Caenorhabditis elegans: one gene and its partners. The protein of the gene in region 4 interacts with the protein of the main gene of each other region in a pairwise test. Each region holds a gene or a part of one and is shown on either strand. Other genes may lie near its edges.

What was found.
Region 1: the proteins of let-391 (region 4) and ceh-9 interact in a two-hybrid assay, tested with the Caenorhabditis elegans proteins (one large-scale study listed by BioGRID).
Region 2: the proteins of let-391 (region 4) and elt-6 interact in a two-hybrid assay, tested with the Caenorhabditis elegans proteins (one large-scale study listed by BioGRID).
Region 3: the proteins of let-391 (region 4) and rbr-2 interact in a two-hybrid assay, tested with the Caenorhabditis elegans proteins (one large-scale study listed by BioGRID).

The regions. Positions count from the first base shown.
Region 1 is NC_003279.8:564,209-569,835, forward strand, and holds ceh-9 (Homeobox protein ceh-9), read right to left. Parts: upstream 2,381-5,627; 5' UTR 2,184-2,380; coding exon 2,033-2,183; intron 1,673-2,032; coding exon 1,485-1,672; intron 1,337-1,484; coding exon 1,232-1,336; 3' UTR 1,076-1,231; downstream 1-1,075. Other genes in the region: Y65B4BR.1 (Lipase_GDSL domain-containing protein), read left to right, coding at 401-902.
Region 2 is NC_003282.8:1,915,444-1,923,295, reverse strand, and holds elt-6 (Transcription factor elt-6), read right to left. Parts: upstream 5,320-7,852; coding exon 5,179-5,319; intron 4,745-5,178; coding exon 4,628-4,744; intron 4,125-4,627; coding exon 3,908-4,124; intron 3,754-3,907; coding exon 3,527-3,753; intron 3,464-3,526; coding exon 3,275-3,463; intron 2,239-3,274; coding exon 2,164-2,238; intron 2,092-2,163; coding exon 1,954-2,091; 3' UTR 1,652-1,953; downstream 1-1,651. Other genes in the region: Putative transcription factor egl-18, read right to left, coding at 5,936-6,172.
Region 3 is NC_003282.8:10,916,553-10,926,076, forward strand, and holds the start of rbr-2 (Lysine-specific demethylase rbr-2), read left to right. Parts: upstream 1-3,517; 5' UTR 3,518-3,554; coding exon 3,555-3,698; intron 3,699-3,741; coding exon of another isoform or gene 3,742-3,748; coding exon 3,749-3,880; intron 3,881-4,139; coding exon 4,140-4,576; intron 4,577-4,804; coding exon 4,805-4,992; intron 4,993-5,041; coding exon 5,042-7,052; intron 7,053-7,215; coding exon 7,216-7,403; intron 7,404-7,449; coding exon 7,450-7,745; intron 7,746-8,176; coding exon 8,177-8,832; intron 8,833-8,877; coding exon 8,878-9,176; intron 9,177-9,524. Other genes in the region: ZK593.3 (High-affinity choline transporter 1-like), read left to right, coding at 63-225, 733-1,013. UniProt on the Caenorhabditis elegans protein: Histone demethylase that specifically demethylates 'Lys-4' of histone H3, thereby playing a central role in histone code. Does not demethylate histone H3 'Lys-9', H3 'Lys-27', H3 'Lys-36', H3 'Lys-79' or H4 'Lys-20'.
Region 4 is NC_003279.8:6,036,166-6,042,989, forward strand, and holds let-391 (C2H2-type domain-containing protein), read left to right. Parts: upstream 1-2,237; 5' UTR 2,238-2,265; coding exon 2,266-2,292; intron 2,293-2,371; coding exon 2,372-2,484; intron 2,485-2,529; coding exon 2,530-2,608; intron 2,609-2,658; coding exon 2,659-2,859; intron 2,860-2,953; coding exon 2,954-3,072; intron 3,073-3,376; coding exon 3,377-3,689; intron 3,690-4,100; coding exon 4,101-4,299; intron 4,300-4,499; coding exon 4,500-4,810; 3' UTR 4,811-5,102; downstream 5,103-6,824. Other genes in the region: C27A12.4 (C2H2-type domain-containing protein), read left to right, coding at 35-160, 398-1,316; szy-5 (C2H2-type domain-containing protein), read left to right, coding at 5,509-5,949, 6,365-6,562.

The DNA of each region.
Region 1 (5,627 bases), 5.5 Mb from region 4:
CAAGACAGCCACAACAAAATAACAACGGCAACAAGATTATGGGCAAACACGTGGTGCCAGGCTGTCCCATTACAGTTTGATCTACAATAAATGCGGGAATTTTTCGCCCAAAAAAAAAGTGACGTCGGCACGTTCTTAACCATACAAAATCAGTTGAGAACTCTGCGTCTCTTCTCCCGCATTTTTTGTAGATCAACGTAATTCAAGCCAAAATGAGACACTCTGACACCACGTGGGCAGAGTCAACTTCCAAAGGTAGATCAAAAATTAATTATGAAAAAAATTTGCGATCGTATTTTTCGATAATAAGAGCCAACATTTTTCGGCTTTTTATGGAAATTTTTTTTTCAAAAAGAGGAGTATGGTCCATAACTATGCCATCAATACCAAGTCCTTCCAGAACCATCGTATCCATGACCGGAATGTTCGACATGGCCATGCTTCGCCAAATCGACCACGACAAGTATTTCTGCGACGGCCTCCATGTGTTCGAGTGCCCATGCGAGAAGAACAAGGACTTCCCGAATACCGACATCTCGGCTGCCTGCCATCTTTACATGGATGCTCAGCAGGAGATTCAAGACTCGGGAATCTTCGACTCAACAGATGACTTTACATTTGTCGTTCAACCATTCTTCAATGGAATCACAGTTCCACCACTCAAGCCCGACGGAGAAGTCAATCTGGATTGGTTTGCACCGGATTGCTTCCATTTCTCAAAACTAGGCCACGCCAATGTTGCCAAGCACTTGTGGAACAATATCGTTCAACCAGTCGGATCCAAGAACCATCAAGTCAATCTGTCAGATCCTACCATTCCACTAAACTGCCCAGACACCAAGTGCCCATTCTTCAGAACAACTAAGAACAGTGTTGACTGCTCGAAATATATGACTGCCTAGACTGTAGGAAATTGTGTTTGTGTGTGTAATTTGACGTACTTATCGGGTCTGCAATAAAATGTTTTATCGTGTAATCTTTAATTTTTAACGTGTGAGACATAAAAGAAAGAGCACCCTCAATAAAAATATCCACGTGGAGTACACAATATAGCTATCAATAGAGCGAGTAAATATTTTTGCAATAATTATTTATTAGAAGAATGGAGATCAAGGTAAAGGAAGAGATCTTGATTTTGAAAAAAAGATACTGGAAATACTAATTGTTCACGGGATTTCATAGAAGGGGATATATCACGACTTTTTCTTTGAAAAATAAAAACAACATAAAATTATTGCGGCTTCACAATCTGATCATCCGGTATTTCTCCAGATCTTTCCTTTTCCGATTCGATCTTCTTCCACTTGGTACGCCGGTTTTGGAACCAGATTTTCACCTGGAATTTGAGAAATTTCAGCTATGCGTTGAGTGCCGCGTTACGTGCTGCGTTGCGTGCTGCGTTGCGTGCCGCGTTGCGTGCCGCGTTGCGTGCTGCGTTGCGGGCTGCGTTGCGTGCCGCGTTGCGTGCCGCGCTGCGTGCCTACCTGCGTCTCCGTGACATCCAATCGTTTTGCAAGCTCACTTCTGTCACTACTTGACAAATACTTTTTCGCCTCAAACTGCTTCTCCAGTTCGAATACTTGTTTCCCGGAAAATGTCGTCCGCGCCTTCTTTCTCTTTGTTTTTTGACATTTTTCTATAGGAGACTCTTTGGCTTGGTCGAGGCTGGATTCTGAAAAAATATTCTTAACGGCTGATTATTTTTCTACGTGTAGCATTTTTCCGAAATTCATTGAACAAAATTAGTAAATTTCCAAAAAATTTTTTTTCCAAAATTTCGAAAACATTTTAATTTTTTTCAGATTTTCTAATATTTTAAAACAAAAATTGAGAGTAAAGGAAATAAAAATTGTGTCTTGTAATTTTTGTAATTTTTACTCAAAAAAAGGCCAGTGAAATACTATTACAGAAAATACGAATCGATGCACCATGTCAAAAAGAATAGTATTTCACCTCAAATGCACCATGCCCAAAACTAGTCTATTTTTCAACTACAAAACTTCATACACCTAATCCAAAGAAATCAACTTACTGCATCTTCCAAATTCATCAATTTCTCCATTAACAGTTGGTAAGTCAAGTATATCCTTTATCAGGTGACTAGTTCTTCTCTGAGGCTTCACATCAGACGTCAACAGTGCAAAATAGGGTTGAAGTAGTTGGAAGAGCAAGTCAGTTTCCATTTTGCACGAATGAAAAGAACTTCTGAGAGACTTCTCTATACAGTAGGTCTCGAGGTCCCCGCCTTCTCTTCAATCAAATAATTGAAATTCTGGACTCTCGGGGGACTTTTGACGGTTGACGACGACGACAATTTGCCAAAGTGGTCGACAATGATTGCGCAATTGGTGTGGAAAGAAGAAGAAGATGGGTGAGTTCTGAGATGATGACAAAAAGAGCATGAGCCAGCAAATTGAATAAGAGACCGGATTTCGAGAAGGAGGAGGGGGAGAGGAGGATTGGTGGTAAGGGATGATACTTGATGCAATTGAGGGAATGAGTTTCTCATACTTGACTATTAAATACTTTTCTTGAACTTAAATATTTGAATTGAAATTTTGGAGTAGCGGAGGCACATGTGATATTATTGTGCTAATTTGTAATACTTGGACTTTCAAATATAACCTCAATTATTTGAAAAAAACCTTTTGAATAGACCAGCAAGGTTGATCTACAATTTTTCATGGAAATCGAATTAATTTTGTAAGGATGTCTACTGAGTATAAGCTTATTGTTAGGCTTAGGCTTAGGTCTAGACTTAAGGCTACACTTAAATTTAGGCCTAGGCTTAGGCTTAGGCTTAGGCTTAGGCTGAGGCTTAGGCTGAGGCTTAGGCTTATGCTCAGACTTAGGCTTAGGCTTACGCTTAGGCTTAGGCTTAGGCTTAGGTGTTGGCTTCAGAATAAGCTCAGGCGGGGGTGAGGGAAGGGTAGAAAAAAAAGAAAGAGAAATTTCCAGAAATTCACAAAATCCAGAAAAAAACATATCTTTCACAAGTTTATATTTTTATAGCCTAAAAAATTACTTTTAAAATGAGGATATGCAACCCGCACGCAAAAAAACCTTTTTTTTTTTGAGCAATTTCACGGCTCTTTTTTTTTTAATTTAAAAATACAATAAAAAAACCAAAAAAATTTTCCGAGCCCAAATTGCTCCCAAATGCTCTAAATTTCTTTTGAAGTTTGATATATTCCTATTAGAACTTGAGGAAAATGTAAAACTAGAGAAACATAATACTACGCATGTTAAATGTAAATTACTTACTTTTAAAAAGTCGTACGTTATTTTGGAAAGTTTGAGGTTTTTGCATTTTTTCCGTAATATCACTGAACACTTTTATTTAAATATCATCAATTATCGGAAGTTTATAGGTTGCAGGAGAAAAAATATATTCTAGCGGGAAAATGAAATGAGACGGGGGGACATTTTTAACCAAAAAAAAATCAGAAAACAGTTGGTAATAAAATTATTCCAAGAAAGTATAAATTCATGACTTCCATCTTGGGAACATTCTTAAAAAATGTCAACGAATAAATCTTTGTGGCAAACAAACTTTTTCCATAAATGTTTCAGACCTTATATAGCGGACATGAAAGTTGATTGCTTATTTGATATGTCTTGAGTTTATTTTTTTTTATTTCAAGCGAGGGGAGATTTATTTGCCTAGATATATATATAATTATTACTGGAACGAACTGGAAAAAAACTTGGGATCAAAAAAATCAAAAATTCAAATTCAAAAATTCAATTTTTCGAAACTTTTTCTACAGCTTTGTCGAGAAGCAACAGACAAATACTTATAGCTAAAATTTTATTAATATTCTAGTTTTAGTCATGGTGAATCGAGAATTTGTCAATTTCCATGTGGTATCTTAAAAATAAACCGATACACGTGGTGTCAGGCTGTCTCATTGCGGTTTGATCTACGAAAAATGCGGGAATATTTTTCCAGAAAAATTGTGACGTCAGCACGCAAAAATTAATAAGGGTCTAACCAAAAAAACTTGAATCTTGGAAATATTTTTAATTCACCCTAAATTTTCCCCTGATTCCGAATATCTATGTGAAAAAATTCAAAAAAAATTTCCTGAATTTATATTTAAGCTTGAAATCTTTCATAAAAATTTTTTTTTTTTAAATTTCATTTGTACTCGCATCACTTTTTTCAAACTCGCGCCCAAATAAATTAGCGCGCGCGTGCATCGTTTGACTTTTTTTCGTTTAGTTTTTTTTATTTTAGCCGAATTCAATTTTTTTAAAACCAGTTTCATTCATTTTTGTCGGTTTTTTTTTTCTGAAAAAAATGTAAAAAAACGAAAAAAAATCAAACAATGCAAGCGCGCTCCAATGCTAATTTATTTGAGCGCGTATTTAAAAAAGAGACCGGGATACAAATGAAATTCGGCGATTTCAAGCTTAAATATAAAATCTGGCAAACTTGTTTTGAATTTTGAATTTTTTCACATAGATACTCGGAATCAGGGGAAAATTAGGATTCATTCAAAAATATTTCCCAGATTTCGGTACCCCACCTTAAAAATTTTTTTTTGGGAAAACAAGGAAAATTTCTAGCTTGAACTTATTTTATCAATACCTAAAATGCTGAACATTAAAACACACACACCCGTATGAGTATTATATACTTCCAAGGAAACATTTGAAAAATAAAGAGTTCTCCGCTTTGATTATACACTTGTGATATTCTCACGCCTGGCACTTGGCACCAGCTCAAAGTGCTCATTTTGGCTATAATTGTTTGAAGGTATATGAAAAAGTGGAAATTGGGAGGAAAAATGGCATGTTTTGGCTTTCTCTACCTGGCCTATGTGTTAGAAAACTCTTCTATGAAAATTCAGTTTAATTTTTTAATTTTTCTTAATTTTTAAAATTCTAAAAATGGCTAAACTTTCAAAAATATAATTTTTAAAAAGCCAAATACTATAAAATTTCTTTGTTAATTTCTTTATAACCAAAATTAACGATTTTCAAAAGTCAAATTTTTCAAAATTACAAAAAATTTAAAATTACTGTAAGATGCGCAAAAATTACAGAGTTTTCAAAATATAAAACACTCTTGTGGCCGAAAACTTCCAAAGTTCAGGAAATAAAAATTCCAAAAAAAAATCAAGAAAAAAATGTATCTCGAAAAATTACCGCTATTAGAAAATCGCCTTCTCTAAAATTTCCCAAATTTTGAAATTATGGAAATTCCCAGATTTTTCAAAAGCGATCTAGTCGGAGTTGTCAGAAAAAAAGTTCAAGAAAACTTTCTCTAGAAACTCAAAAGTTGGCCTGATCAGAACTTGTTGGATTTTTTCAATTTCCCAAAAAATTTTCAAAGTTGCCGAAAATTACCGAAACTCCAGGGCTCACTTTTAGACCTTAAAATGAAACTTTTGCCATTTGAAAGAGGCTCTTTGAAAAAGGTCTCTGCAAAAAATTTAGCGGCAGACGAGCACTTTGAACTAGAAAAATGTCGCTTTGAAATTGCTATCATTGAAATTTTTCACTACTATAGAGGCCGGTAAAATTGCTCCAAATCATAATTTAAAATATTTTTTCATGATTTTTTTTTATTTTTTCATGATTTTCGAGGTAGGCAAATATTCTGGGAGCTTTTTTGGATA
Region 2 (7,852 bases), on a different chromosome or scaffold from region 4:
CGTAACAATTCTCTGGGACGTTTAAAAATTCTCAGATTTTCGCAAAATTTTTTAGTATTCGAATTGTCTTTACAACGCTGTGTATCCAACTAGTATTGCGAATGCGGTGAACGAATAATAGGCACGGGCGGCTGCGGGGGAAATACACCGGAAATGTATGTCCTTGAGCAGAAGAATAGTGGGGGCTCCGTGGAGCACTGACTGGACGGGAAATTTTTTTTTATTAATTTTTATTTTTATTGAAAACTTTGAAAATTTAGAATAAACTTGATTAAAAAATCGAGTGAAAAAACATTTATTTGAAACTTAAAAAATTCCGAAAAAAAAGTAAAACAAAATAAATTCTTCAAAAACTTTCAAAATTTTTCTTCCGAATTTGCACTCATCTCGCCTGGAGCTTAACGATAAGTATAATCATGACCCATTTCCATTAGTTTCCGAAATTCTTGGGTCTCGCAACGAAAAACTACAGTAACCCATTGAGTTTCTCGGCGGGACCCTTATATGGTTGTATTCAAATTGAAGCTCTCCGATTGATGAACTCAAATGTTTCATTAAGTTGTTAAAATTTTAAAAAAGTCAGGGCCCACCACGAAAATCCCCGGGTTACGGTAGTTTTCATGGCGGGACCTTGAATTTGTCAAATTTTGGATTTTTAAACATTTTTATAAGATTTTTTAATACTAATTTTAATAAAATTAAAGTTTTAAAATACGCTGAATAACAAAATAACTGTGAAAATTTCAAATATTTGCGGAAATTAAAAAAAAAATTTAATTTTTTTTGTTTATTAAAATAACAGTTATTAAATATACTTGCTTTTAACTTTCAAATCTAATCAGTTGTAATAAGGTTTCAAAAATATTGGGTCCCGAAACGAAAACTCGTGACGGGACCAAAAATTTTTGAAAATTGATTGAACATAGACATAATTATACTTATTTTAAAACACTTGGCCAACTAATAACAGACATAACAGTGACACTCAAAAAACATCGGGTTTCTGTAGGTTTTCGTGGCGGGACCCAAAAATGTCCATTTTTACAGATATATTTGAAATCAGCTCACTAATAGCTTCAATTTAAGTCTTATCATGACAAATTTGGGTCCCACCACGAAAGTCACGAAAGTAACCCGAGGGATTTCGTGGCGGGACCCAAAAATTTTCAAAACTATCAAAACCTAGCCATGATTATACTTATTTTGAAGCTCTCGGCGAGCTGAATCTAGGAAAAATACCAAAAATTGAAAATCCAGAGGTTTGGACAAATTTTCAGAATTTTCGTTTTGAGACCCAAATTTTTTTTCAAATTTCGAAATTTCAGATTTTAAGGTTTTTATGCAATTGAGAGATGTTAATTAAATATGAGCTTCCCATACTTCTTTGAAATTTGAGAAAATTTGGGCCACCACGAAAGCCTACAGTAACCCTGGGAATTTCGTGGTGGGATATAATTTTAAACATTGAATTCATCAATCTGAGAGCTTCAATCTGGATACAATAATGTCATGTTTTCCTTTGTAAATTACAGGGTCCCGCCATGAAGTTCTCCGGGTTACTGTAGGTTTTCGTGGCGGGACCCAAAAGTTTCCCCTTTTTTAAAGCTTTCATTGATCTGAAACTAGCTTAAACCTTTTTAAAAGTTTCCTTCCTGCATGATAATATTTATTAAAGGAACATGGATATGCACACAAATAAACTCGGTGCTGGGATTATTCTGTTCAGATATTGCGACAAAGTGAAAGAGACCTGCACTTCTAATAAGGGGGAATACAATAAAAATTTAAATTGCAAAAAAAAAAATGTTGAGATTCTTTGTTTTTTCAGAGACCACCGCAGGGGTCAGTGGGATTTTTTGTTGGAAAAGTGAAAACGGAAATACTGATAAAGCTCACAGTTGATCGGGAGGGGACATTGGGGGATATATCACACGAGATAATAAAATATAATAATCAGGGAGACTTGCGCTGCTCCTGTGACTGATTCAACTGATTAATTTGCTCGAGAAAGGTCAGCGCGTTGGCTCCACCGTTAGCCATGCTCGGTAGGCCGAGAAGTTGACTGAAAACGGCTGCTTGACTGGTTGCTGGCTGAAAAGTTTAGAGTTTTTTCCAAAGAGTTTTTTTTTCGCTGGAAAAAAATTGAGCAAAACAACGGCTCACATTTTCATCTTCCCTCATTCTTCTACGGAATCGCTGTTGGATAAAATCTTTTCGCATGTGAACCGGCCGATGTGTCTGAAAATTTGTAGAGTTCAGGGGGGAGAATATTGAAAAATGAGGTCTGAAATTGGGTCTCTCCACAGATGAATCCTAAACGTTTTAATGCTGCGAGTTATTTGGTTCAGTTAGGGCTCACAAACCGAACATCCGGTTATCCGAATGTCATTTGTCAAGGTTTTAGGTTCCAGACTTTTCGGACGTGTAGTTTCTCAAAACCAGCGGTAACATCAAAAAGTAGTTCGGGGGCCTAAGCTTAAGCCTAAGCCTAAGCCTAAGGCTAAGTTTCAGCCTTAGCATAAGCCTAAGTCTAAGCCTCAGCCGATGCTTAAGCTGAAGCCTGGGCATAAGCCTAAGCCTAAGCCTAAAACAAATCCTAGACCTAAGACTAAGTCTCAGTCTGAGCTTAAGACTAAGCCTATGCCTAAGCCTAAGCTTAGGCCTAAGGCCGAGCCAAAGCCTAAGCCTGAGCCTATGCCTACGCCTAAATGTAGGCCTAGGCCTAAGCCTAATATAAGCCAAACCTAAGCTATAAATCCCTTCTCCAGATTCATTCAATACTTCCCTTAACTCGTTAACTCGCTCACACTTTTGGTTTTTTTCCTTCTTTCTCTCTCTCTCTCTCTCTTTCTTGACCACAAAAACCATCATCAAGATCCTCCTCACTCACTCAAAACCCATTCAATTTTCATCGATAATTAGTCGTCGTAGTCGGAAACGACCTTTCGAGATGGGTAGTGGTGGTGGTAGTGGACCAGTAGCTAGAAGTAGTACATAACATCAGCAGCCCCTATGGGTTTCTAAGAGGTAATCGGAGGACGAGCGTACGCGCAATCTTCTAATTATCTTTTGAAACGCGACGACGGATATATATATATTGTCAAGGTTGTGTGTTTTGAATTGGGTCAACACTATTGAAGCTCCTTTTTTGGTTTTTTGAGTGCTAGCTAGGCGTCATGTACTTCTCTACAGTAGTTATGGGCTCAATCTCTGTAAGAGTTTCCAGCAGTAACCACTGTACCTACAGTAACCCTCAGATTTTCAGCCAACTCACCCTATGCAGCCTATAATACAATCCACACGCGTTACAAACAAGCTTCCCCTCCAAATCCCTTCGCCACGCTGTCGTTTTTATTGTGGAGCAATTGGAGCATTTCGAGATGGACGAGTTGGCACTTGTATCGTCCTCCGAGCTACCAGCCGCCGCGGCGGTGGATGCGTGTACTGTTGGTGATGGTGATTTCTGGAATTTAGACTTGGTTTAGGTCTTGGTTTAGCAGTCTGGTCTGAAGACTATGCTACTAACCCCGTTGAACTGCATAGAGAGCTGATCGAGCAGAGTCTGCTCAACAGACGCACTTGGCGATTGGTTTCTGTTCTCCGACGGTTCCTGCTGCTTTGACTCTTCGGCTTTTACGGGCTTCTGCTCTCTCGCCTGCTGTTGAGCATGGTGATGAGCAGCGGCTTGATGTTGTTGTTGCTGCACAAGGTTTAGCAAGTTCATCATATTTTGTGGATTGGCCATGGGATCGACTAAAAAGTTTTCAAAGATTTGTACAAAGATCTTGGGATATCCTGCGCAGGTAGGCATGGCAGCTCTTTCAGGTCTTTTCCAAGGTCTATGTGGTTCTATTAAAAGCTTTATCACTCTAAGAACCTTTATTTTTCTAAAGTCAATGAAACTTACACACAAACCCGTTGAAATTCTGAAAATCGGGAAACGGAGAGCTCGCGGAAACCGGCGTCGAAATATTCCTTGTGATTTTCTCAAAAGGCGAGTCACTACCTCCATTCTCCAAATGTCGATTCACAGATTCTTTGGTGGGTTTCCGTTTGCGGCACCCTCCATTCGACTTTCCGACTGATGACGGAGAAGCACGGCTTTCAGTTGGTGATGGGGGATACTGAAATTTAAAATTTTCGTGATTTGGTCTTCTTGATTTCCAGAAATTACAATTATGACATGTGGTATCAGAGTGTCCCATCTCGGTTTGATCTACGTGTAGATCTACGAGAATCGCGAGAATTCGGACGCAGACTTCTCAACTGATTTAGCACGGTTAAGAACGTGCTGACGTCACATTACTTGAAGAAACAAAGAAAATCCCGCATTTTTTTGTAGATCAAACCGTGATGGGACAGCCTGGCACCACGGGACACAGCAGGAAGTTATGATCAACGTGGATGCAAAAATAAACAAGTTTCTTGGGAATGGCTCAGAATCGCGAAAAACTGAGAAAATAACTTTAAAACAGATTCAGTTTCTTTCTCGAAAATTGTCAGGCGGCGGGAAAATGCTGCGAAATAAGCTCAGTTTCAGCCCATTTTGGCTTATTTCTAAAGTTCCACCAGCTCCTTCCCGCAGAACTTTTGCAACATGGCCGCTAAAAGTTGTCAAAAATCTCACCTTCTCCTCGCTTCCGCTCTCGGACATTTGCTCAAGCAGGACTTTTTCCTTTTCACTGATAAGAGCTTCAAGCCTTCCGCACACTTCGTCAATTTTCGACATCATTTTTGAAACATCCTGTAAGAAAACGAATAGACCGGAGCTTTCAGCGCGGCGATTCAAATTCCTAGAATTTCAGAAATTCTCAATGAAATGAAAAATAATTTAATGTTTCTGGTAATCCGAGAATTACTTCATGTATGCCTGCCTATCGGCATTTGGCTCTAGTTGGCAATTGGGCAAAACTTGGGCAAAACTTGGATTCAGGCTGCACCAAAGTTTCCCCCAACTCTTACCAAACTTTGGTCCAAAATTTTCTTTTTTTTAGTTATACTTGGGTAGAAGTCTGACCAGATTTTAGTTTTGCCAAAGTCTTGCCCAACTTTTGCCCAAGTTTAGCCAGCTTCTTATCCAAGTTAATATTTTTTAGGCCAAACTTGGGCAAGAAGCTGGAGCCAAATGTCGAGAGTAGGCAGGCGCGTGAGCCTACTGCTAAACAAAATAATATGCACCTGTCGAATATCCTTGTGAAGCTGAGCGCATCCGGTGCACGCTGCTGCTGTAGTCGCCGTCTCCTCAACCCGATCCTCCATCTCCTCCTCCACCTCCCGGCTCACCATCTCATCCGGCATCTCCTCCTTCGACGACGTCATCTGTAAATCACGTGTGACGTTGTTTTAGAAGAAGAAGAAGTGGAGAGCGAGAGAGAGAGAGAGACGGAGAGAGACTGTGGAGCGAGGGGAGAGTGCGAGAGAGCGAGAGGACGAAGTTAAAAGCTAAAAGTGATAGAATGAGATACATACGTTTATCCGTCAAAAACCACAAGAGATAAGGAGAGAGAGAGAGAGTGAGATGAGATTTTTTCAAAATAAATATGAAAATGCAAAAATGATGATTCAAGTGAAATGACAAAGTGGTGGGAGGAGGTGAATATAACACAACCATGCACAGAGAATTGGGGGAGGGGCCTCCTGCAGAATGGGGCGGAGCCTAACTATTATTATAAGTTGTCGGAGGAGGAGGTAAAGCTCACAGTCGGAAACACGCGGTGAAGTTGGGGGAAATGGGGCACAATTATTATTAGAAAATTGGCGGAAAATTATTTAATACTGTATTTTTCTGAAGGGGTAATGGAATGATGAAGGATTGCTTATTAATCAATAATACATTATGGAGAATTTCAAATTTCAAATTTCAATAAATAAGAAAAATTACATAAAGGTATTGTGCATAAAAAGGATGTGAAGGGGGAAAAAATAATAATGATAATTAAAATGTGGCACTGCTATTCATGAGCTCTTGAGCCTGCGTGAATTGCGAGATTTGCTCGAGTAAATTGAATGTGTTGATGGCTCCATCAGTGCTCACTCCGCCGGTCGCCATCGTCGGCATTTGTGTGAGGAGTTGGTTGAAGATCTGTGTTGCCGCCGACGACTCTTTTTCCTTGTTCTTTCGGCGGTAGCGTTGTTGGATGTGGTTTTTGCGCATTTCTATTGGTCGGCGAACCTGGAAATTGGAAAATGAATTAGTTGTTAAGGTGGGAAGGATCTGGGTGAGCTTTTGGAAGGATCCTTAGGCATTTAGGAGCTTCTAAGAGGGGGGGGGGGGGTACTGTGAGGATCCTTAAGATCCTAAGTATCCCAGTGTGGTTGATCGCCACAATCGATCGCGCAGAAATCCAAGCAGCATAAGGGTCAGAATTATCTTATCAAAGGATTCTGTAGAATTGTAGATTTTCCCAGAAAATTCAGATCTCAGGATATCGGTGGAAAGATCCTTCGGATAGATCTTCGCGCTGGTAAATTTTAGAAGGATCCGCAGATGATGTGAATGTTCTTACTAGAGGCTGTAGGGGATCCTAGCGATGGAAGGATCGGAAGGATCGGAGGTCTCCTTTGGCTTAAGCTTCGATCTAAAGACTTCCGGTTGTTCTAGCATATCAAAGAATTCGTTGGGATCTCCATTATCACCAAGCTTCTGTCCTAGATAGCCTCACCGGATCCTAAGTCAGATTCTTGGATCCACCTGTCTCCTAATCAGACATCTGGTCTGTCCGGTCGTGATCGTCCCGTTTCCTGCACCGCCAATTATCATTTCTCCCAATTTCATAACCTTGGCCATATTAGATACACACACACACATCCATCTAAGGGCGGAACGTTCTTCTCAATTTGCACACACAATAGAGACAACAATAGGGGTGGTGGTGGTCTTCCATCTTCGGAGACGGCGGCGGGGTGGGCAATTAGGGTGAGAGTGAGTGTACGTGTATCAGCAAAAGGAGGGGGGAGATACAAAGTGGTGGTGAGAGGGGGATCACTCCGTAATTGCCGAATTTTTGATCCAGTGGAACTAATGGAAGGTCTTCTTGGGTATGGATCAGCTGATCTTACACCTTACACCGGAATCTTGAGGATCCTCGAATCACTGGAACCAATGAAACTTCTACAGATCATCAGAATCTTGAGCGATCGCCTCAAGATTGTTGGGATATCCTTGCTAGGTTATTCTCTGATGTTCCACCTCGGGAATCATCGACCTATTCCAGGAAACAGTGAAGCTCTGGTGCTTCTTAAGATCCTCAGAATCCTCAGGATCCTCCCTACAACTACCCCCGCCGCCAAAGTTTCGATATGGATTGGCGTGCGGAACCAAAAAGTCATTGGTGATGATGATGACGACGTTGAGGCTGGATTGTTTGCGCGCGCACGCGTGCACTAGTTTCATCTCCCCCTAATTGTCGGTGCCGGTGGTGAACAATAAGACGTCGTCGTCGTCGTTTCTTCTCCTAAAATGAATAAGAAAAGGAAGAGGTGGAAAGTCTATTCGAGTTACAGGTAATCATTGACTCGTCTCCTTCTGCGGCACGCACGCCGCCGCCGCCGCCGCCGCAGCCGATACGCTAATTATCGAGGTGGAGACGACGACGATGACGACGACCACATAATGGTTGAAGTGATGGAAATTGAAAGAAAGGTAGATACTGTATCGATGATGATGGAGATGATGATGATGATGAGGTGGAGAAGGTGGAGGTACTGTACTTTTGACCTACTGGGGTGGTAGAGTTCGAAATTCTTGATAATGCGGGGATCTTCAACAAGAACCAAGTAACTCAGAGCTTCTGATAAGGATCAGGATCGCATATGGGACGATCAGATGATCTGAAATCTTCACCTGAAGCCC
Region 3 (9,524 bases), on a different chromosome or scaffold from region 4:
TATTTGTTCATCGGTCAGCCATAACCAACTCATTTTATATTTTCAGTCATTCGTTAATCAAAATGGTCGCCGTTATGCTCCCAACAGCTCGAAAACCAACTGAACATAAAACTCCATCAGCTATTGATCAAAATTGGCCGTGTTTTATCGTTGCATTCACAATGGCATCAATCAAGCTTTTGCTCTCATATACTGGAACAGAAGACTTCAGAATTGTTGGATTCAGTAAGTTATAGTATTTGGAAACAAAGGACAATGATAAAACAACTCCTTCTGGGAAATTCTAGGGTTAAAATTCAAAAACAAAAAATTATTACGAACTATACAAATTATTTTAATTTTGCTAAATCTTTCGCACTTGGTGTATATCCTGAGAGTTTTCGACTCAAATGTGGAACGACAAAGAAAAATATTAGGCGAAAAATTTTCAGTAGTCAGGTGGAACTAGGTGGAACAAAAGTTTTGCCAACATACCGTATATTCTCTATTAGTGGGGCACCCCTTCGCTCAACTTTGACGGATTTGCCAATTTATGAATTCAAGTTGCTTTTTTCGGCCAAACTTTTAGACGAAACTGCCCCTAAATGCCGAGATTTTGGAGTAAACTCCTTTTTTTTAATTATAGCGCTGTAGCATATGCCGGTTAAGTTTGCTCTATACAGACAAGTAGACAGATATGTTTTGCCTACATAAAATAATTTTCCTAATCTGGCATTAACTACTGAATTTCAGATGATGTCAACGTATTCTTCCTCATGGAACTTGGCTCAACTCCACTTGCAGTCATAAATCCACGTGTCTGGTTTGGAATGTTTATGTGTTCTCTTTCATACATGTCTGTGGAGACTGGATATCCAACTGTCGCTATTGTCACTATTGTTTCAATGCTCATTATTGCCTACGCAATGGAGTATGTCGATTATAGAAAGAAGCAAGAAACTGAGAGAACCGCTGTCTACCAAATTCTTCCACTTGTCGATGAGAAGAAGTTCAGAGAACAAGAAATGATCTAACAATACTTTTCGTGTTTCTAAATGCTTATTTTAGTCAAATTGACTCAAACTCGAGTGATTTTATCAAAGATTTCAAACTTGTATTTTATGCCTCATTTTCACATTCTGGTTTTTCTTGTAATTAAGGTACTAAACTATAAAACTATATATTTTATTGACTCTTTTCATATTTTACTATTGGATATGTATATCAATATTAAACCCTCATAAACTAAACATAATTGTCTATTTTAGAGTTGAAGCCAACATTCTCTGGTGTGTATGGTTAAACTCCATGGCAACCCGACAGCTGTTCTTTTTGTTTTTGCACGAACACTTTCTGATTAGATTCTGAATATGCGAAAACGCCTGCTCGTATAGCATTTCCATTTCAGAAAAATTCGGCTAGAAATTCAACATTTTAACTTACAGTAGCTCATTTACTGTTATATTGCAATAATCTCTATTTATTTTCTCGGCATTCATCCCTCGAAATCTTTTTCTTTGCTCGAAATTGACTGGGAATTCTTGAAAATTATTCAGGAAAGTCTGAGTAGCTAAGAGATAAATCTTCAAAAAGGAGAAGAAAAGTTATATATGTCCAGGAATGGGTTACTGTAGTCATATGCTGCTTATTCGTATGTTTTTTTGGTGGAGCGGCAGCGATTTTAAGGTCCTCCGGTTCGCGGTGAGAGCTGTTAGTGTATATTTAGAAGAAGTTTTTTGAAAAATTCAGTCAGATGGACACTGATATCTTCTCGGAATACAGTAATCTTTGTGTGAAAAAGTTATATATTTTATTAACGATTTATCTTAGAAAAATTGTTAACTGTCAAACGAATGCTCTGAACATCTGAAAATCGTGCACTGTTCAATATGTTACACATTTTCGCTTTAAGTTCCGCGTTCAGCCTCACTTTCTAACCACGTCTGTGATTACACGTCTTCAGCGTTCGGTCATAAACTTCTGATTCTCCCTCCGTTTCGTCTATTTGTCGTAAGAATGTGTGTAGTCGTGTGAAACAAGTCTTTTTCGCCCTTTCGTTTTTAATCAGCTTCTTCACACGCAGACAGCTGATTCTGCTTTTGCAGTTATAATCTATGTCTTCTCATTCTCTCGCGCGCAACCATCGTTTATTTCAAAACGGGCGCATAATAACTTTTTAATGAGTTTGATTTAGTTTTGAAAAATAATATTCACATTCCTTAGAAACTATGGAGATTCACAATTCGGCGAAATCAGTTTCTACATATTACTGTGTACTTTTTACAACTTCTATGATTTTAAAGTGGCGAGTTTATGCGGAATGGTCTCGCCACGCTCTGCGATTTTTTTTTCAGAAATCTGGTATGTGCGCCTTTAAGATTACTGTAGAGGGTTTGCTGGCAAATCTCCAATTTTCTCGTTTCTCCCTTTTCTTCATTTTCGATTGTTCTTTTCCCAATTTTCTGTATTTTATGTAATTAGACATGCCAGAAAAATCTCTACAGTCATCTTAAAGGCGCACACGCCAATTTTTTCATGAGTTCGCAGTGCGTGGCGAGACCATTCCGCATTGATACGCCTCCCTTTAAAACCGTAGTAAACAAACACAGTCTCAAATCTTCAATTAAAAATGCTGGCTCTCGGAGCCATAATTCCATGTTCTCTTTTTCTCTCAGTCTGTGTTCATTTTACATGCGTCTTCCTGCTTTCTCTTCGTTTTCTTTGTGTGCGCCCATCTTTCCTCAGCTGCTGGCCTCAAAAAAAAGTTAGTGCAAAAATTCACGTATTACTAGGAGGCACATGCGAGAACGCGTCGCGCACATAACATGAATAAAGTGTGATTGGGCAGGAGACCGAGAGATTATTGCTAGCGAATAGCATGCAAACAGAGGAGTGACAAGACGACGAGAGTGGACACTCGAGAGTAATGTTCGGCGGAGCGCACTTTCCTCGATTTTCGTGGGCCGACCCTGGTGGGCGCTGGGGGCTATTTCCTCTCGGTTTTTCGATTTTATCTATATTTTTTTCTGTTTCTCCGCTTATCTTTACCGCACGCAATTTCTGACGAAAAGGACACCGACCTACTGCAAAGTGGTCAAAGAATACCAGTCTCTCAATGCATTTTAGGTGACACATCAAAAAGATTCAGAGAGATGGAGTTTTCAATGATTTGAGTTACTATACGATGCCTTACGTGTCTTGACCTACATTTAAAACTCTACCAAAGATCCTTGTCTAAACTTTGAAAAGCTGCTCGACCTCAAAAATTGGAGAAATATATATATTTAAATATGAGTCATTTTTCAGCTTAATTATTTATACAATATTAAGTTCAAATCAAAAGCTTAATAAGAAAAAGCTTAAAAGCCAATTTTAAAGGAGTATAAGCTAATTTTCATTTCCGGGTTTCTATGACGTCTATCATAACACTCGTGATGCATCTTGTTTCATCACATGGAAATTTCTCGTCGGTACTTAAAATGTTCTTCTTCTCAAAGCTTTTAATTTCAATTAATATTAAAGTCAAACAAAAATGAAATTTACAGATCTCATGAAGCTATAAGCCAAACTGAAAAATGCGTGCACGTCGTCAAGAGAACAGTATCTCGACGCCGTCAGCACCGTCGACGAGCACTTCTCCGCGGAAGAAAGCATCCATCGGAAATTCAAGATCTAAGAATCATGGAAGCAAAATGGAAATGTACGATCAATTCTATAAGGTTTGATTACTAAGACATACATAAGGTGAATAAGCTTTCATAGTTTTCAGAAATTCGTACGACCTCCAATGGCTCCAATTTACTACCCGACAGAAGAAGAGTTCTCAGATCCAATCGAGTATGTTGCCAAAATACGACACGAGGCCGAAAAATTTGGAGTTGTTAAAATTGTTCCGCCGGCGGTAAGTTATTTATTCGGAAAATTGTACGTCTGACGTTTAACAAGTTTTTAATCGTTTTTGAAAAGTCTGAAAAAAAGCGAAACAATGTTTGTAGTAGTTTAAAAACTTCTACTACTCCCTTCAATTAAATACTAAATATTAGAAAATTTTCAGTTTACTAAAAGAATGGTCACCACTTGAAAAGTGCAATTTTATCTGAAAATTTTTGATTTTTCCCTCAAAAAACGAATCGAGAAGCATCAACTCTCTTTTTTTGCAGAATTTCAAACCACCGTTTGCTATCGACAAAGAAGCCTTTACATTTCGTCCCCGAACTCAAAAACTGAATGAAGTGGAGGCAATTGTCAAAGAGAAACACACATTTATTGACCGATTAATCAATTTCAATCGATATTCTGGTCTAACTTTTGAGTTTCCAGTGGATCGAGATGGAAATATTGTCGATTTGTATCGATTACATCGTATAGTTCAAAACTTTGGAGGATGTGAAGAAGTGAATGAAGATGAAAAATGGAGAGACGTTGCCCGCGAATACCTTCCAAAGGAGCAAATGGCTCGCGGTGTTCCGTCGGCTTTCATAAATTTGATTCGATCACATTATAATTTGCACATTGAACCATTTAATCGAAATTTGAAAGAAAAAGCGATGAAAAATGATGATGAAAGTGATGATGAAATGGAAGAATTAAAGCATAAGTGAGTAATTAAGAAATTTAAATAAATAAAAATCTACAAATCAGTTAAGAAAACATAATGTAGATGGATTTTTTTGAAATTATATGCATTTTAAATTTTTCTTATGTACCCATGTTTTTGTTTTTTAGAACCATGAAAAAATGTTAAAACCGATAAATAGTAAAATTTTTAATTTTGTTATTAATAATTTCCCCCATTATTCTAATTAAAAACGAATGAATTTCATAGATATCAACATCACCACGGAACTATGCGGACAGAAATAGAAGTTCCAAATGATAAAACTACTGAAGGAGGGGAAGATGAGTGTCCAGTGTCGATGCAAAGTGGTCGACGGAGATCTAAAAATAAGAAGGCTTCATCTTCAAGAAAGACTCTTGGAACATCTTCAAAGAAGAATTCAACCAGAGGAAGAAGTTCGTTTTTTAAATTTAAATTTTTTAAATTTATTTTCACAAATTACAGAAAATAAGAAGAAAGCCGAAGGAGACGATGATGATGATGAAGATCCAATGGATCAAGTATTCTGCGTTGCTTGTAATGAAGGAAAGGATGAAGATCTACTACTTCTTTGCGATATTGATGGATGCAATAATGGTCGTCATACATATTGTTGTGATCCAGTACTCGATGAAGTACCAGAAGGCGAGTGGAGATGTCCAAAGTGCATTGAATCAGAGGATGCAAAAATCGGATTAGACTGGGGATTTTATGATGCGGACACAGAATACAATCTGAACTCATTCACTGAATTTGCCAACAAATGGAAATGTGATTATTTCGGTGTAAAAGATGTATCACAAGTGTCGTGTGATGCTGTGGAACGATCATTCTGGAAGAATGTAATTTCACACGAAAATCCAGTTTCTGTCAAATACGGTGCCGACTTGATTACGAGTCGAGTAGGAAGTGGATTTCCTCGAAAAGAAGATAAGCACACTGGCCCAGATCTGAAGCTGAAGCAGCAATACGCTTCACATGCATGGAATCTGAACAATATGCCTGTACTTCGAGAATCTGTTCTCTCACATTTTAATACTGGAATTTCTGGAATGATGGTACCGTGGGTCTATGTTGGTATGTGCTTCTCGACGTTCTGCTGGCACACCGAAGATCATTGGACGTATTCTGTTAACTATAATCATTTTGGAGAACGGAAAATTTGGTACGGTGTTGGTGGAGAAGATGCTGAAAAGTTTGAAGATGCATTGAAGAAAATAGCACCTGGATTAACTGGAAGACAAAGAGATCTATTCCATCATATGACTACAGCTGCAAATCCTCATCTTCTTCGTTCATTGGGAGTTCCAATTCATTCAGTTCACCAGAATGCTGGTGAATTCGTCATTACATTCCCACGTGCTTATCATGCTGGTTTCAATGAGGGACTCAACTTTGCGGAAGCTGTCAATTTCGCTCCAATTGATTGGCTATCAAAAGGTCGAGAATGCGTTGAGTCTTACTCAAATGTACGAAGATATCTTGTATTTTCTCATGATGAGCTTCTCTTTAAAATGGTTGAAGCAATGGATAAACTTGGAATTTCGATGAGTTTAGCAACACATGAAGAACTGATAAGAATATATGAAAAACAAAAAATGTTGAGAGAACTTCTCGCTCGCCTCGGAGTTTCCAATCGCCAAATGCAGCAAGTGATGTTCGAAAAGATTCCAGATGAACAAAGATCGTGTCGTTTTTGTAAGACGACTCTCTTCATGTGTGCATTGGTTTGTAACAAACACAAGAAAATGACTTGTGTTGAACATCATGATCATCTTTGCAATTCGTGTACAACGAAAGACTACAGATATCAGTACAGATTCGAGTTGGATCAATTGAACAATATGTGTGATGAACTTGGAAAGCGTACGGTTAACTACAATGGATGGAAAGAAGAGTCGGATGAGATGCTTGAAGAAGAAGGAAAACCAAAACTCGAGAGAATTGAAGAGTTTATAGATTCTGCCAAACAAAACAAGTATCCACAGACAGATCAAGTTCATAAATTGATAACAATTCGTCATACAGCCAAGAGTGCCATTGAAAAAGCAAATCAATTGCTCTTTAAGAAAGTACGAACGCGAACAAAAACCCGATGTCAGAGAGCCGACACTCGTACAGACACCGAGGGAGTACGGTCATTGATTGAACAAATGCAAGCCATGGATTGCAATTTGACTGTTATTATTGATAAACTTGAGAAATGGATGGAACAAGTTGAAATGTGGAGAAACAGAGCAAAAGATGCTATCTATCGAGAACAAGAATACTCAAAAGAAGAAATCGAGAAGATTATTGAAGAGGGAGATGAATATGATATTAAATTGGAAGAAATCGATGAGTTGCGAAAAGTTATTCAAATGAAGGATTGGTCGGATAGAGCAAGAAAAGTTACTACATGGAAGGCAACTCCCGATATGGAGAAAGATATTGATTTTGAGTATAAGCTTCGATATGCATCCAGTGATATTTTATCGTAAGATTTTAAAAATATTTTTTCTCTTAAAAGGAAATTTGTGTTTGTGGATTTTTCCTCGAATGGGCTCGGCCCAAAACGACCGAATTTCATGATGAGACCTTAAAAATATTTCCAAATACTCTATACCCCTTTAATTCAAAAATTCAATTATATGTTTCAGATTGATTCGTGATAGTCCACGAAATCCCACAGATGGTACTTCTAAACTCGTCTTTGAACTTCAACAAATGCTCCGTGACGCCAATACACTCGAGGTCATTGCAAACAATTTCTGTGAGAATCCAGCACTTGATCAGCTTCAATCAATTTGGCAAAGCCTTAGAGAAACTGATTGGTTCTATGAAAAATGTTTGTTATTTAATGCATTAGTAATTCTTACAAAATAATTTTTAAGATATTAACATGGTTCGCTATGAGATCATTCATGTTGCCAAAATCAAGTCAATGATAGATGCCGCAATTCCCGTGCTATCAGAATTTGATTTAAAAACACAACTGCAGAAAATTGTCAATGTTGAAATTACACTATCGAAGGCGGCCGAAATCAGTAAAGCATTCGAAACTTCAAAATGTCTAAACGGTTCCGAAGAGCATCTCGGGATTTTGGATATGATCAGCACAATGAATGCATTTACTCAGAGGATAGCTATTCTGTTCAAGCCAAATAATGCGTATCACAATCTTTTTGAAGTGAGTGAGATTCGTGAAATTTGACGATTTTTCGCAAAAAATACGGTACCCGGTCTCGACACGACAATTTTAGTTAAATACAAACGAATGTGCGCCTTTAAAGATTACTGTAGCTTCATAATTTCGTTACTGCGGAATTTTCATAGATTTTTCATAGTTTTCGTTATAAATTTATTTATTTAATAAAAAACTATGTTGAAATAATTAAAAACATGAGACAAATACTAAGAAAAAAAAAGAAAAATCAAGGAAAATTTCGCAGAACCAAAAATTTGAAATTACAGTATCTTTAAAGGCGCGCACCTTTTTAAATTAAACGAAAAAATTTCGTGTCGAGACCGGTGACCGTATATTTGGGTAACATTAATCCAATCAGGAAGTAGCATAGACATTAGCTTCGATCTAATTTGCCTTAAACTTGAATTTTCCAGATTCTCTCCGAACGCGATGATTTAACTCCACTTGCTGAAGGACAAACGATACCATTATATTTTCAAGGAGGCGCAGTACATCCATCTGATGAATGGCATCAAATGAAAGAATTCGAGTCATTAGATCAAATTGTGCATCATCAATCATCGCTACGTGAAATGCAAATGAGAATTTTTGAAAAGGTGAAACAAGCAAATTCAGCTCGTGGTCTTGAAGCATGCTCATGTCTTGGATTCAACAAATCAGATGATTCCGAATCAACACTGACATGCATAATGTGCGATTCAGAGTTTCATGTTCGATGTTGCGAGTGGTCACCGTTCCTTGAAAAACTTCCAGAAGGATGCTTTTTATGTGTTCGATGTCTACGGGGACAACGTCCAGTCATTGATGATGTAACAACTGCTCTGAATGGAACACCTTCTGGATGTTTGGAAACACATCTTGTTCGAAATCTAATACAAAAAACTCGTGGAATCACTCAAAATTTGATGGAAGCTGCTAATAAACGGAAATCAGGAGAATCCAGCGACGATATTTGTAAAATTGCCTTATTCGATTGGCTATCGTGTGAAATTCTGAATCCCAATGGTCTTCCGAAGGCACGCGAGCTGATTTCAGAATTTTATATGGAATATCTTCAAAAACAGTCAAGGTTTGTACACATTATATGTATTAATTTTATTTTTAATTTTTTCAGCGCCGCACTAGAACTCAAAAATCGCCCGGTTCGTTCAAAACCATCGGTATCACTCTTCGATCCAAAAATCACAGCTAAACGCAAAAGGCCAAGTGTTTCACACAAAGAGACGTCGAAAAAATCACGCAAACGTCAAAGTCAAGCATCACCCAGTGAATATTACGAAGACGAGTCTGAATTCAAGTCGTGTCAAGCTCGCGCCTGTTTGAAGCCATATGGAGACTCAGTGAACTGGGTGATGTGTGAAGCAGGCTGCAAAAACTGGTTCCATGTGATTTGTCTTGGATTCACTCTGAGAGGTAAATTAAGATCGGGTTTTGTGGTTTTTTGGAAAAAAAATTTAATTGTAAGGAGAAAAAAAAACGAACCTTTGTTTTGTGACAGACCTGATCTCAAAAAAAAACTTTGTGCCAAAAATACGGTACCCGGTCTCGACACGACAATTTTTGTGAAACACAAACGGGTGTGCGCCTTCAAAAAGTATACTGTAGTTACCAACTCTCGTTTCTGTGGGATTTCATTGTCGTAAAACTTTAAAAAATTTTAAAAACTTCCGCGTTTTTATTTACTCTTTAAAGGCACACAACTTTTTTGCAAGTAAAAAAAATTGCCGTGTCGAGACCGGCTACCATATTTGTTCAATTTTG
Region 4 (6,824 bases):
AAAAAAATAGTATTCCCACTATTCTATATTTCAGCTCGGAGCCGTCCTATGCCCCCAACAAAATGCACATGTACTGCAAGTACCCCATGGACGTGAGGGGAAGAGAATGTGGGTTCGTGGGGACCCTTGCTGACTGCATCACACACATGGGCACTCACACGTAAGTTTTTCATAAAATGCAAAAATGGAAGAGTGTTTGACGGACTAGACAACTATCTGAAGGGACAAGAAAATATTAGCCGGAAAACACAAAAATGTTGAAACTAGTGCATTCAATTGCGCGGGAATTCAAATGTGATTCAGCCATTTCTTGCAAGTTTGAGAAAAATAACGTTGATTTTGGTTCATTTTCTATACCACCATGTTACATTGTAATATTACATAATTTTAATTTCAGGAGGACTTACCTCTACCGTTGCAAGAAGTGCTGCATGGATCTCACGGATCCGAGCCAACTCTACAACCATCACAGCGTCACCAATGGAGACCTGTGCACCTCGAAGACCGCGGAAATGGAAGTACTTCCTCCGATAGGAAGAGATAAATCGGTGGATCGTCATAGGTCGCTGAACGTATTTCTTATGGTTATATCGAAGGAAGAATACCATAAGCATAGGACTTCCTCCAATTATGCCCACAACACTCGGAGGACTGGAGGAACTCCTGCTTATGATGATCTTCCGTGTTTCAATCAGATCTCGAGGAAGAAAACATCCTACAGCCACCAGGTTCCGGAAATCGATGTAGAGCTCAACAGTTCTTCCACATCAGCTCTTCCAATTAAAGAAGAGGTTACTACAAGGAGCCCTGCACCAAATATGGGTTTTTGCGAAGTACGCCAGCTCCCAAAAGACTCCAGAGGGCCTCAGAGAGATGGCTCCTCATCTCCTGATGTTCAGTTCATCAAGACTGTGACTATGTCACGGTTAGAGAATGTTGTTCCTACCAGCTCACGTGGAAAGGCGCCAGAAGATTCATCTGCACCAGCACGTCTAGGATTCCTCTCCGATCGTGCGGTCTCCGGGTCATCAATCCCAGCCGTCGAGGAAAGATCTGGAGAAGGCAGCTTCGACTTTACAGGTCCTTCCACTCCTCGCTTGGCCCAGCCAGCTTTTGGGAACTTTTTTGGGAATAGGGCGAGTTCTTCGTCTTTCGGTGCACCATTGTCAACTCTAGCTGTGGACAAGCTGATTCCGGAACCTCATCTCTCCGGAAGCAAAGCGGTCCCAGACCATCGTTTCGATTTCAAACATTTCAGACGTCTCCGAGCAGCGGGAGGAGGGCCCCTCAAGGCGATCGCCGATGTCTCCATCTAATCAACGGGGACGTGGAGCAGGACACCAGCCACGTAACAGGGAACATACACCGAAATCGCCATTGAGAAACCAGAGGGTGAGTAATTTGCAAAATGACCTAGTTTATTCCTCGATCATGCGAAAAAACCAACTAAATCTATCTGTAAATTTCACAGCGTGGTCGCCGAAGCCCCTCGACAGATGAGTGGACCCCCAGACGTTCAGAGCATCACCATCGTCGTGACTATAGAAGAAGAAAGCGGGATTATTCAAGAGATCGCTCACGCCATCACGGAGATCGTTATTAAATTCCATGTTGCATCTCAATTTCTTTTTCTTCGATTTCTCGAGTATTGAGCCTTTATTCACATTCCTTCTCGTATGTTCATAATAAATATTCTATCTACGTTAAAAGTAAAATATTCTATCTACGTAAATCTCCTTGTCTAACGCTCAATACACAACACAAAACATTCGCCTATTTCTTAGACTCGTAAAACTTCCTGATTTCCTTATGAATTTGCATGATCAACGTGCTGCTGTTTCACTATGAACATTTTCTACTCGTATGTTATCCGAACGGCTTTTATCAATTTAAAGATTAAACTCCAATATTTGAATGGAAATGAAGATGTGATGGCAATGATCTATTCATTACTTCTTCTTCTGTCTCGTTAAGAAACAAGATTTCAGCCGTTGCAAAGAATTATATTTATTAAACCCTCAATTCAAATTTCGCGCTCTTTCGAAGACGGGATATCGGAGTGTCGTTGTTTATTTTCAATTTTATTTTTTATTCGCAAAAAATCAATATTTGACTTTTTCTTCTATTTAAAACAGTTTTTGTTGAATTTTTCCTTTCATATAAATATTATTAATCTTTAAAATTTTTATGTTTATATGATTAAATCTTCCTTATTGCCATTAATTGTGTATTTTTCCAGATCCTAAAATTCGATAAACAACCAAAATGAAGAATAACGAGGATTTAGACGAAGTAGTACATTTATCGCAAGTAAAATAACTAATTTCAATTTAGTTTTCCAATTTTCATTAAGAAAATCAAAAATTTTCAGAATTCCGATGCAATTTTCGAGGAATGGGCAGCTGAGTGCACTCCCGACGCGCAAAAAGAGCACGAAGAGCTCGAGGAGATTGTCAAGATTCCAGATTCGACATACAGAAAAAAGTATGAAATTTTTGTGCTAAAAATTTATTAAATATAAAATTGAAGGAAAGGAAATCAAAAGTTGCCGACGGTGACGACGTGCGAAGTATGTGGAGTTGCGTTGAAATATCCATCGAGGATTATGGTACAGAATATTTTATTTTTATAACAAAATGAAGATTTTTATTTGTTCAGGAACACATGAGAACTCACACAGGCGAAAAACCATACGAATGTGACATTTGTGGAATGAGATTCACTCAAAGAACTCCAATGATTAACCATTTTCGTGTTCAACACATGGGTGATCTCCCATTTCTGTGTAATTTCGGTTGTGGCAAACGATTTGTGAATAATTCACGCAGAACTGCACACGAATTAAGCCATAATGGATTGGTAAGAAAAGTTTTTATGCTATAGAAAAATTTAAAACATCGAATCAAGCATTTATATCCTAAAAGATTACCGGAATAAGATATATTTTTTGCAGAAGCGAGCAGGACCGGCACGGCCTTATCTGAAACCAGTTAAAAAGATTGTTTGTCCATCAATGGATATGGATATACTTTCAAATTCTGCACTAGCTAATTATATATCACCACCAACGATGTAAGTATATGCAGAAGTGAACTAAACTTGATAAAATAAATAAAAATTACAACAAAAAACAAGAATTATAAGATTTTACATTTTTTAAAAAGTGAATTGCGGTGTTTAATCAGCAATCTTTAAAATTGAGATTTTAACACTTTTTGTTCTTTAACAAATTTTAAAACAACATTTAAAAAATCGGTGTTTTAATTAATAAAAAACTTTGATAATTTAAATAAAACTCCTGAAAATTTCTAAATTCGAAAACTTCCATCTTATTTCCGAATTGGTAAATTTAAAAGAAATTAAAATAACTTTGCAGAGACTCAATATTTCAAAGTGATCCATCAACTTCTTCCTCTTCACCTTCTCAATTTCAATCATCAAATCAAACAACAAAACAATCTATATATCCATCAGAAAAAGAAATGGAAAAAGCTGCAATATCTAATGCTCGAATTGATGACGTTATTAATACAGTATTGGCTCGAGTTTTGGCTCCGATTGATGAAGAAATTCCGATCGAAGAACCAGAAAAAGCTCCTCAGAAAAGAGCATATATTTCAAATCGAAGAGCAACACTTGCACAATGCAATATTTGTGGATTAATGCTTAAACATCCGAGCAAAATTGCTGTTAGTTTTTTTTTCGATAAAAAACGAATTTTGGTGAAAAATGAAAAATTAAAATTATTTCAGTGCCCACAAGCTGAATTTTTGCTGAAAAATTGAGAATTGGACAGAGAAACAATTTTTTCGATAAAAAGCATTCGAAACTTGATTTTCTGAGCAAACAGAAAAAAATATTTGTAATTAAAATTTTTTAAATCAAAGCTTATAGGTTTAAATGTGTTAAAAAACAAAATTTCCAATTTTCTCTCTATTTATAAACCTCTCAAGTTCTGAAATTTCTAGAAAAATATAATATGATTTATTATATCGAAAATTGTTGAATTTTCTAAACTTTGAAATCAAAAATTACAATTTTTAATAAAAAAAAGAAAGATAAATTTATTTTTAAATACAAATTTCTTTCCCATTTTTCAGGATCATATCCGAACACACACAGGCGAAAAACCATTTGAATGTGGAGAATGTGGCTTGTCATTGTCAAAAGCGAGCTCTTTAAAAGTACATATTCGTCGAATGCATACTGGAGAACGTCCATTTGAATGTACTTGGAGATGTGGATTGTCTTTTGTAACGGATTCTGTTAGAAAAGAACATGAAATGACTGTACACACTGGTAAATATTCAAAATATATTTTACTATCCGAAATTTGGGTTAAAACCGGGGGTAATTTAGAAAAAGAAAGCAATTTCCATTTTTTTTTGTTGCAAATTTTAGAATTTTCTCAAATTAAGAGTGTTATTGAAAATATGTTAACTCAAAAATATTTAAAAGAGTAGTCATCTACAAAAATTACAATTTTTGAAACATTCCAGGTATAAAACGTTACACATGCGTTGTAAAAGGATGTAATGCAGTATTTGCTCGTCGTGTATATCTCATGAGACATCGAAAAAATGCACATCCCGAGCTCTTCACACCAATTTTCGATCATGTTCAAGTGAATCACGAGGAATCACAGGATTCAGTTATTGTTTATGAAGATGATCATGAACAGAACAATCAGATTATAATGCTCACTGGTGATGGTGATGACGTCAAGATCTTGGCTCATTTTGAAGATGATGAAGAGGAATTTGTGGAGCAAGGAGGAAGCATGGAAGATCAAAAAACTGTTCATTTTTGACCAGAAACTTGAAAAAGCTCTTTCATTTTCCAATATCTAGGCAACTTATAGGGTAACTAGCATTTTCTACTTCATATATTCAGTTTTCTATTCCACCCAGCAATTAGTTTTTAAAATGGAAGAGTTATTCAAATTTCAAATTTCTAGGCCACTATTAAATTTTGCATTTTTTAACCATTTTTTTCATTCAAATTCTAGAAAAATTGTGAGAATTAATTCTCACAATTTTCAGTTTATTTTGGTTAACCTACGAGTTTCTTTTTGCTTCTTTTTTTAATAAAGATTTTTTTTCTCAGATTTTTCAAATTTTTTTTCTTTTCCGTATTCAGTATTTTTACTGTTTAATTATACTTGCTTTTTTTTTATTGTTTGCCAATATATTTTGAAACTTTCTCCTTTCGCAAAAATTGAAAAGATGAGATTTTGAAATTTTTTTTAACATTTTCAAACTTTCAGCAAGCTATTTTTGAGCAGTTCGAAAAAATGTAGCGGTACTTTTTTTTTGAGCCCAATTTTCTATAAAATGTTTTAAAAGGGTTTAGAATGTAAAAAACCAATTAATTGTTTTTTTCAAATTTCACAAAATCCAAAACAAATTTTTTTAGATATACCTTTTTTAATTTGCTAAAAACTTTCTAAAGGTCCAGGAAGGCCCATAAAAAATTAACGTCGAAAAATAAAAATCGATATTTTCAGAAATGGCAGAATCTTGTGTAAAACCTCAACTACCTCGTCCTCGAATTCCAAATATTAGAGTTTTTCAACCAACTACTCGAATTCCCACATTTACATATGAACAATTCAACGAATCCGTCGAAATTCTTCCAAGTCGTCCCGAATGTCTTTATCGTCGAAATGATCCAACAAATCGAAGTTATCGAATGAAAAAACGACCACCGGCACAAATATATCATTGTGTTCAATGCAATAAGCACATAAAATATCCATCAAAAATAACTGAACACATTCGAAAACATACTGGAGAGAAGCCAAATGTTTGTTCAATTTGCAATATAAGTTTCAGTCAAGCACATACATTAAAAACTCATATGCAGCAACATGCACATGAAAAACCATACAAATGTTCATTTTGTACGGCTGAATTCTTGAATGTTTATGAAAAGAATGAACATGAAGAGGTGAGAAATTTTAATTTTTCGGAAATTCTTTTTTTGAAAATTTAAATAACTTTCTGATACGAAATTTCATAGATTTTAACTTGATTATTTTGAAAATCACAAAAATCCTTTTACTTTTGCAATTTTTTTTTGTATTTTAGAAAATTCAGAACTATCAAAATGCCATTTTTGCATATAGTTCATAGGAATTCTAGACGAAATCTTCTAGAATATCCGACTTTTAACGTATTTTCGGATCGTATGGATCGTATGAAAAAATAAAAAATAAAGAATTTTTTGGATATTTGAAAATGTGCGCAACTTATTTTTGATTAACTGTTTTTTGAACTGAAAAGTACTTTTTTATGATATTCTACAAAAATAGAAGAATATTCTGAATATCTCTGCCACTTCTTCAATTTTATAAATATTTCAGCAACATATGCATCATCCAAATCACGGTGAAACAATGGAAGAGAACAATGCAACGACGTCACAATTTATTCAGGTCGCGGAGCCAACAATTCAAGCAGAGCCGTGCCAAATTTACGAATGTTCTGAAATGTGCGGTTTTCAGAGTTATGAAGAAGCCGAAGTTGTCGAACATATGACTGTCACACATTATCAGCAAACGGTATTGAGATTTTAATGGAAAATTACTGGAAAATACGTTCTAAATTTGGAAAAATCCCCTTCTCGAAATTTTTTTTGAATTTTCGGTGTATCAAATCGCAGAAAAAGTTTTCTAGAAACTTTTGATTTATCCAAAATATGTTGAATTCAATGAGAAAAGTAGAGCATTTTCAAATTAATTTTTTAAACCTAAAATTATTTTGAAAAGTGACCCTGAAAGATTAAAAAAAAACAAAATTTCTAAATTTTCCGATATTCAGAAA